Callithrix jacchus: one gene and its partner. The protein of the gene in region 2 interacts with the protein of the main gene of each other region in a biochemical or structural test. Links are inferred from orthologs where the notes say so. Each region holds a gene or a part of one and is shown on either strand. Other genes may lie near its edges.

Evidence for each region.
Region 1: the proteins of EYA2 (region 2) and SIX1 form a complex in vitro, tested with the Homo sapiens proteins (2 studies listed by IntAct, with this or other methods). The link is inferred for Callithrix jacchus from reciprocal best matches to the Homo sapiens genes EYA2 and SIX1.

What each region holds. Positions count from the first base shown.
Region 1 is NC_133509.1:95,380,723-95,384,837, forward strand, and holds the start of SIX1 (homeobox protein SIX1), read right to left. Parts: upstream 2,801-4,115; 5' UTR 2,512-2,800; coding exon 1,952-2,511; intron 1-1,951. UniProt on the Homo sapiens protein: Transcription factor that is involved in the regulation of cell proliferation, apoptosis and embryonic development. Plays an important role in the development of several organs, including kidney, muscle and inner ear.
Region 2 is NC_133506.1:42,280,536-42,284,035, reverse strand, and holds part of EYA2 (protein phosphatase EYA2), read right to left. Parts: intron 2,996-3,500; coding exon 2,818-2,995; intron 1-2,817. UniProt on the Homo sapiens protein: Functions both as protein phosphatase and as transcriptional coactivator for SIX1, and probably also for SIX2, SIX4 and SIX5.

The DNA.
Region 1 (4,115 bases), on a different chromosome or scaffold from region 2:
AGGGAGGGGAGCTGGAAGGAGGAAAGGGCCATTGTGCAATCTGTCACCAACCCAAATGGAAGAGCTCTACCCTTCCACCCATCCCCAAGGGTAATGGGGGAGGTGAGAAGTCAGAGAAACGGAGAGCTACGGACAGAGCCGCCTGTTGGGAGCCAGGTTATTTTCTCTTCCAGATTTCAGGAAGTGATAGATTAGCAGGATTTACTTGAAACATACAAAATATACCTTTTCAATTTTGTTCCAGCAGTTACATTTAAATACATATCAACTAACACCATGTTTAAATGTAACTAAGTTTGAAAATCTTTCAATAAATGGATGTTGGTGATAAAGAAATGATAGAGGACAGAGTCTAATGCACAAATGTTTGGGGTGAATCAAGCCCATTGCCTTATTCCAGTATGAGACAATTAAACATCCAGTTTTCCTGCCCCAGCCCAGAGTTGGTGGTTTTGCAGACACAGGACAGGTCATGGGAAGTGGTGCCCAGAGCGGCCCAGTGACCGAGTAAACACAAGGAGCGCAGCCAGTCTTTCTGATTTCATCTGGAGTCGGCCCTAGGGCCTGGCTTACAGGACGGCCGTTTTATAACTAAAGGCTAACTGCAACTATATAATCTCTGTTTCTGTGTTACTTGCTAACTCTTCAGCCCCTCGTGGCCCCTTCTCAAACTGTTTACCAACATCCAAAGCAACCCATCCTTTCTGGGCAAGGGAAACTTCGCCGGCCGGCACAAGCTGCCAGCGGGCGAGGTCCCGGCACTCTGTCCCGGTTAAATTCAGGATTTCGCTGCTCTCGCGGCTTTCGCCTTCCGAGTGCTCGCCCTGTATTCCCGACTCCTAGCGCCTGTCTGTCTCCTCCTTTCTTTTCCCTTATCCTCAGTCTCTGTCTCCCGGCGAGCCCATTTCAGCTGAATTTATCCTGGCTCTGTGGTTTTCCACCCAGAGAGGAAAGGAAGCAAGACCTTCGGCCCCCAGGTTTGGAAGCAAACAAAGGAACCTAACCAGCCCCTGCGCTCAGGTTTTCCCCAAACTCTTCGGCTTCGCGGAGCGCTCTCCGCGCTACAGCCACCTCCCCACCGTTCTTCTGAATCTCTGTCGGAAACTCTACAGAAAACGGAAGGAGCCTGGCCAGGTGATGAAGGTGTTGCCCCGAGGTGGGGGAAGTTAAAGACCAATTTTTAAAATATTGCCTTCTGAGCTCCAGTGCGAGAGAAGGCTGCGACAGGAGACCCCTAAGGTCCTCGTCTGGGCAAGCGGCGCGGACAGCCAGACCGACCGGCTGCAGCGCCGGGCCACGAGCGAGCGAACACGGCGAGGATCGACCCTTTCTGAATTTGGGGCTCCGGGAAGTAAATGCAGCGCCAACTCTCCCCAAGACTCTCTTTTTGGTGTATTTTTAAAAGACTCCTTCCTTTGTCCAGCTAGTGAAAAATGAAGCAGGCGACCTGATTCAAAAGACTATCAAGAGAGAGCCGTGTAAAACCGGGCGGGAGTGAGGGCAAGGCCAATGTCTCAGGCCAGCTTCACCCCCCTGGGGAGGAAGAGGAGAGAGGTTCGAGAACATCAGCTCCCACCGAACCTCTTTCCTTGCGACACCACTCAACGCTTCCCTGCCCATTGATTTAGAAACTCACTCTCCACCCATCACTCCCCGCCGCGGCCAGCCAGGGAGGCATGAAAAACAAACCTAGAGCCAGTATTTCCCGACACTCACATCCCAGAGAAACCCACTCGCGGGTGCTCAAAGCAAATGAGGCCCCATCCTTAGCAAGGAACCTCAGAGTTCATGAACTTTCGCAGCAGCGCGGCGGAAGCCTGCGCGCCGCCCGGTGGACGGGCTCCGGCGAGCGGGGAGGACTTGGTGACGGGTGCCTGCGGGGGCGGGAGGGGGTGGAGGGGAAAGGAAGGTTTCCTAGGGTTGCCCGAGTCGCGGGAAGCACGCCGCGTACCTTTCCTTGGCCTCCGCTGCTCGGTCTCTTTGCCTCCGGTTCTTAAACCAGTTGCTGACCTGGGTGGTGGTGAGGCCAGTGGCCTCAGCCAACTCCCGCTTCTCACGCGGCGAGGGGTAGGGATTGTGCGCGTACCACTCCCGCAGCACGCCCCGCGACTTCTCCTTGAAGCAGTAGCTGGTCTCCTCGCCGTCCCAGATGGTGCGCGGCAGTGGGAATTTTCGGCGCACCCGATATTTGCCCACGGCGCCCAGGGGTCGGCCGCGCAGCTTCTCGGCCTCCACGTAATGCGCCTTCAGCCACAGTTGCTGCAGTTTGGGGTGGTTGTGAGGCGAGAACTGGTGGCTCTCCAGGATCTTGTAGAGCTCACGGAAGTTGCCGCGGTGGAAGGCGACCACCGCCTTGGCCTTGAGCACGCTCTCGTTCTTGTGCAGGTGGTCGCAGGCGGGCAGTGACCACAGGAACCTGCCCAGGCGCTCCAGGTTTCCGCCTTGCTGCAGAACCTCGCACACGCATGCCACTTGCTCCTGAGTAAAGCCAAACGACGGTAGCATCGACATGGCTGGGGCCTGCCGGGGCTCACCGCCCAGGCGCACGCGGCTGGGAACAGAGCCGAGAAGCGGGGGGCGGCGGCCGCAGGGGATGGGGGCGCGGCTGTTCCTAACCTCCTCCCTAGATTTTGCAACGGCGAAAATCCGAATCGGAACTTGGAGGTGGACGGCCAAGGAAGAGGAGGCAGAAGGGTAGGGCACGCGCTGAACAAGGAGCCGCCGGCGCACTCAGTAGCCTTTAGGGCCTTGCTGCCTCGGACCTCCCGCCCGGTGGCTGCTGCTAGTTGCCGGGGAACTTGGTTTCTGTTCTCCCGGCAGCTGCCTTAAAGCGCGCAGCGTTCCCGGCACGCTGATTGGCTGCGGGAGGCGCCTATCCGGGGCTGGCCAGCCAGCGCGCCGCCCGGCCGGCAGCGAGGCCGCACCGCCCAGCTCGGGGAGGGCGAGGCTGAGGAGCTAGGAGTTGTGGTGGTGTGTGTGGTGGTGTGTGTGGTGGGGGGGGGGGGGCGAGGGAGTGTTGCTAGGGCTGCGGGGGAAGGGAGTGGTGGGAGGAGAAGGAAGAGGAAAGGTGGGAAGCCAGTTGGGGTCTGAGCTGCGCTGCGAAGGTCGGGGGAGGTAGGGAGTGGGTGAGCGCGTCCGGACCCTGCAAGGCTGGACCCGTTCGTTGCCAGCATTACCTACCCAGAGTCGGGCACAACTCCGCACAAATCAATGACTTCAAACCTTCGTTTCTCCCCTCTCCCTCCGTACTCTTGTCCTCCTCCCTTGTAGACTTGCCCTTTCCCGGTGAGCTCATATTTAATTACTTTAATGTTGGAATGAATAAATAATGGATTGATGAATAGCTATGGAACGCGATAAATAATTCAAGAGCAGACCAGGGTCCCTGCTTGCAGTCTCTGGAAGAGTGGCTTCTTTTTGGGTTGGCTTCGGCTCGAGGAGCCGAACCCAATTTCCCCTTCCCTCCCCCATTGCCCCACACCACCCTCCAAAGGGCACAAGTACTCCCAGTTGGACAGCATTTCCCTCGTTCACAAAGGGCCTCCACGATTTGAGACCAGGAGAAGAGCTGTTTAGAGCACTCTTGCTGAGCACATAGAGTCTCCGAGCATTCATTTGTAATCTATTATCTTAGTGTTCTGCAATGGAAACCAGCAGGTTCCTGAAGCTTTTCTGGACTCAGTTTTCCCATCTGTGTGGTTGTGATTTCCATTGCCACCTTTGCTACTGAGGAATGCCGAGAAGCTTTACTTGCTATTAGCAAAAATGCTTTGGGAACCTCGTACGAAAGGCGCTGGATGTGGTGTAAATTAAATAAAACTGTGCCAGGCTCCAATAACCGTCCGGTTGTAACATAATCCTTGCCCTGCTCTGAGAGGGACACTGCCCTCAAAGCGAGGACGACAGCAGCTCCAAGAAGATTAAATAAAGAGGGTGTGTGTGTGTGTGTGTGTGTGTGTGTGTGTGTGTTGCAATGCTGGCCTATTTTGCTGCCAGGGAGTGAGAGATGTACTGCAATGTAAGTCTCATCATCTGCTGTTTTGTTTATGTGTGGAGAATGCTTAGTAAAACTGCACAAACAAATGAAGTTGTAATTATCTTAAGCCTCATTTGCA
Region 2 (3,500 bases):
CCTGATGGGAATAGAGAACTTTCCCACAAAACCCAAATTCTGGGGAAGCAAGTTTTTCATTTGCCCTTCAGCTCACCATTGAATTATAGACGGATAGTGGCATATACTTGATGATTTCCTGCTTATAGTTCCTCTCTGCCCTAATTTCTCATCAGTGTTGTTTTCCTCTCCATTGTTGAAATGAGATTGGAAGAACCACATTCTGAAAATCAGGGTGGCCAAAGATAATTCAAGATGATGACAGAGAAAAACTTTGTTACACTTCAAACTCTTCAAAGAATGTTGTCAAATAGGTACTATGCATTCATTAAATACTCTGAGATGGGATCAATACCAAAATCAATGCCCAAGCCCTAAACCTTTTAAAAAGTTGACTTTATCTAACATGCTTTGCCATATTGTCTTCATTTGTTGTCAAAGTAAGGATAACTCACTCACTCCCTGTGATGGAAAATTTAAGGGCTAAAATCAATAGCTACACCAAGAACCCCAGGAACAAAACAGGTGGGTCTTCCCTATTGTTCCTTTGCTAACAATCAACCAATTCAAATTTGTTCCTGACTGTCTCCACACCATCTCCACCCCACTAGCTTAGCTTCTGCAAAGCCTTTTTTCTGAAACTCAGTAGGCTTCAGAAAAGAAGACAAAGAAAAAAACTCAGTGGTATCTACTGACATTCTAATGTATTGCTGCCATGTTATTTAATGTTGATAAGCCAAAACCATCTTGTAAAAGAGAAGACGTGCACAGCAGATCTGTGGAATGAATGACTGAATGCATAAGCTGGTGCGTCAGTTGCATAGGGATATTACATACCAAGTTCTGTGACCAGAGAGGGGAACAGACATGGACTCTGCCACGTGACGCTCATAGTGTAGATGGGATCCATATAAAGGTTGTGGATATATATATATATATTTTTGTTTACCCAGTGTTTCTTCTTGTAGTTACAGTGATCTGGGTTTTTTTGAGGTGATCACCTCTTCCTCACTCTCAGTCTCTGCTAGTTGAGGTGAGGCAGACCCCAACTCCGGCTCCAGCCATAGGCATGAGCCCAAAGTCTGTTGCCTCATCCCAGCATTCCATTCCACTGACCACAGAGATTGGTTTGGGGATGAGCATGAGACCTAACCTTTACTTGGGACTTTTGCAGAAATGGCTGAGGAGGAGGAACTCTGTTTGCTGAGGTGGCTTAGCAAACAGGATTAAGCTCTGGGTAGCTGGTGGCCATCTTTGCCACCACAGGGGAGGAACCTGCCTGAGAATGAAATAAACCCAGGAAAATTCAGAGCCAGAAGGAAGAGAGAGAGACTAAGTCCCAACATTGGAACACCTGGACCCAGCCCTAAACCCTTGTACACCTTGATTACATATGCCTAAAAATTCCTCTTTTTTTTTGTTTAAACTAGTTTGAATTGGATTTCTTGTATCTTTTGAAGCAAAAAAGTCCTGGCTAATAAAAAGGGTTTCCTAAAACTGCTGTGCCATCAGAAATGAACATCCTTAAGGACGTCCCCATTAAAAAATGGGCAAAGGATATGAACAGACACTTCTCAAAAAAGACGTACATGTGGCCAACAAGCATGTGAAAAAATAGTATCACTAGTCATTAGGGAAATGCAAATCAAATCCAGAATGATATACCATCGCACACCAATCAGAATGGCTATTACTAATAAGTCAAAAAAATAACAGATGCTGGCAAAGTTATAAAGAAAAGGGAATGCTTATACATTGTTCATGGGAATGTAAATTAGTACAGCCACTGTGGAAAGCGGCCTGAAGATTTCTCAAGGAACTTAAAATAAAACTACCGTTCAACCCAGCAATCCCATTACTGGGTACATATCCAAAGGAAAATAAATTTTTCTACCATAAAGACACATGCATGTGTGTATTTATTTATTTTTTGAGCTGGAGTTTCACTCTTGTCACCCAGGCTGGAGTGCAATGGCGTGATTTCAGCTCACTGCAACCTCCGACTTCTGGGTTCAAATGATTCTCCTGGCTTAGCCTCCCTAGTAGCTGGGTGCTACCCAGGTGCCCACCACCACTCAGGTTAATTTTTATATTTTTAGTAGAGGTACGGTTTTACCATGTTGGCCAGGCTGGTCTCAAACTCCTGACCTCAAGTGATCCATCTGCTTTGGCCACCCAAAGTGCTGGGATTACAGATGTCAGCCACCATGCCCAGGCTTCTATTTTTAGTAAAGGCAGGGTTTTACCATGTGGCCAGACTAGTCTCGAACTGCTGACCTCAGATGATCCCCTGCCCCAGTCTCCCAAAGTGCTGGGATTACAGGCGTGAGCCACTGTGCCCGGCCGGTAATATTTTAAATACTACCATGGCGCATCAACTGCAAGGCCTACACAGACCAGGCAGTAATGAACATGGGGTGAGCTGGCTAGATGTGGAATTGGGTGAGTCCTTTCTGAAACAGCAGACACACTTAGTTTTAATCAAGTGGCATTCCTTGGGAATGTGGCTACTATGGATCTTCTTTCAAGAGAAGCCAGAAATTAGAATTTTTAGGTATTAATAAAATTTTCTGACTTTTAAACATAAATGCAATTAAACAGGCACAAACAGAAAGGCCAACAAGACATGCCTGAGAGATGGATTTAACCCTCAGGTGGCCTGTTTGTTACAACTGCGACCCACTTCTGGGTCCTTCCTTCATAGAAGCTCTCAGACCACACCCATGAATGACCCTCGGATAACCCGTCTGTCACAAATGGGACCTATATCTGGGTCCCTCCTTCACAGAAGCTCTCAGACCACGGCCATGAATGGCCCACCACAGTGACTGCACTTACCGGCAAGTGACTCAGAACTCTGGTTGGGGATGTTGTGAGCTGCCTCCTGGAGGACGTAGGTGGACGTGGAGAGGGGCGAAGGGCAGATGCTGCTGGCCGGGACATAGGGAGGATTGTAGGATGAGCCATAATACTGGGGGTACTGGCTCTGGGGGAAGCCGGGGTAGGAAGGATAGTCCTGGGAAGAGAAAAACAAATCAAGAACATGTGTGAGGAAGCCTTTCTGGGCCTGGGCCATTGGTGAGCCTGGCCACTCTGTCTCTCTCTTTATTAGAATAAAAGCTCTCTGTGGGCAGGAGCTGTCTTCATTTTGGTTTCCCAGAAGCAGACCCTGGGACAAGGATTCAAGTGCAAGGAGGCTGTTTGGAAAGTGAGGGAGACACCAGCAGGGGAGTGGGGAAGTGAGACAGCGGACGCGGGGCAGCAGCCTGCACAGGGGCTTCTATGGTAGTGACTGGAGCTGAGTCCTATGAGGAAAAGCTGAGATGGTCTAAAACTCACATCTCAAAACTGCTTCTCCCAGGGGTCAAGGGAGCAGATGGGTTTATACATCAACTTGTCAGTCTTTAAGAGCTGCTCCCAGGGGGCTTTAATTCCCAGGCACTTCCTGCTTGCCCCATGCACTGGTTCTAGAAAAGCCCTTTGGGGCCCAGCATGCAGATGCTGGCACCTGGAGGTCCACA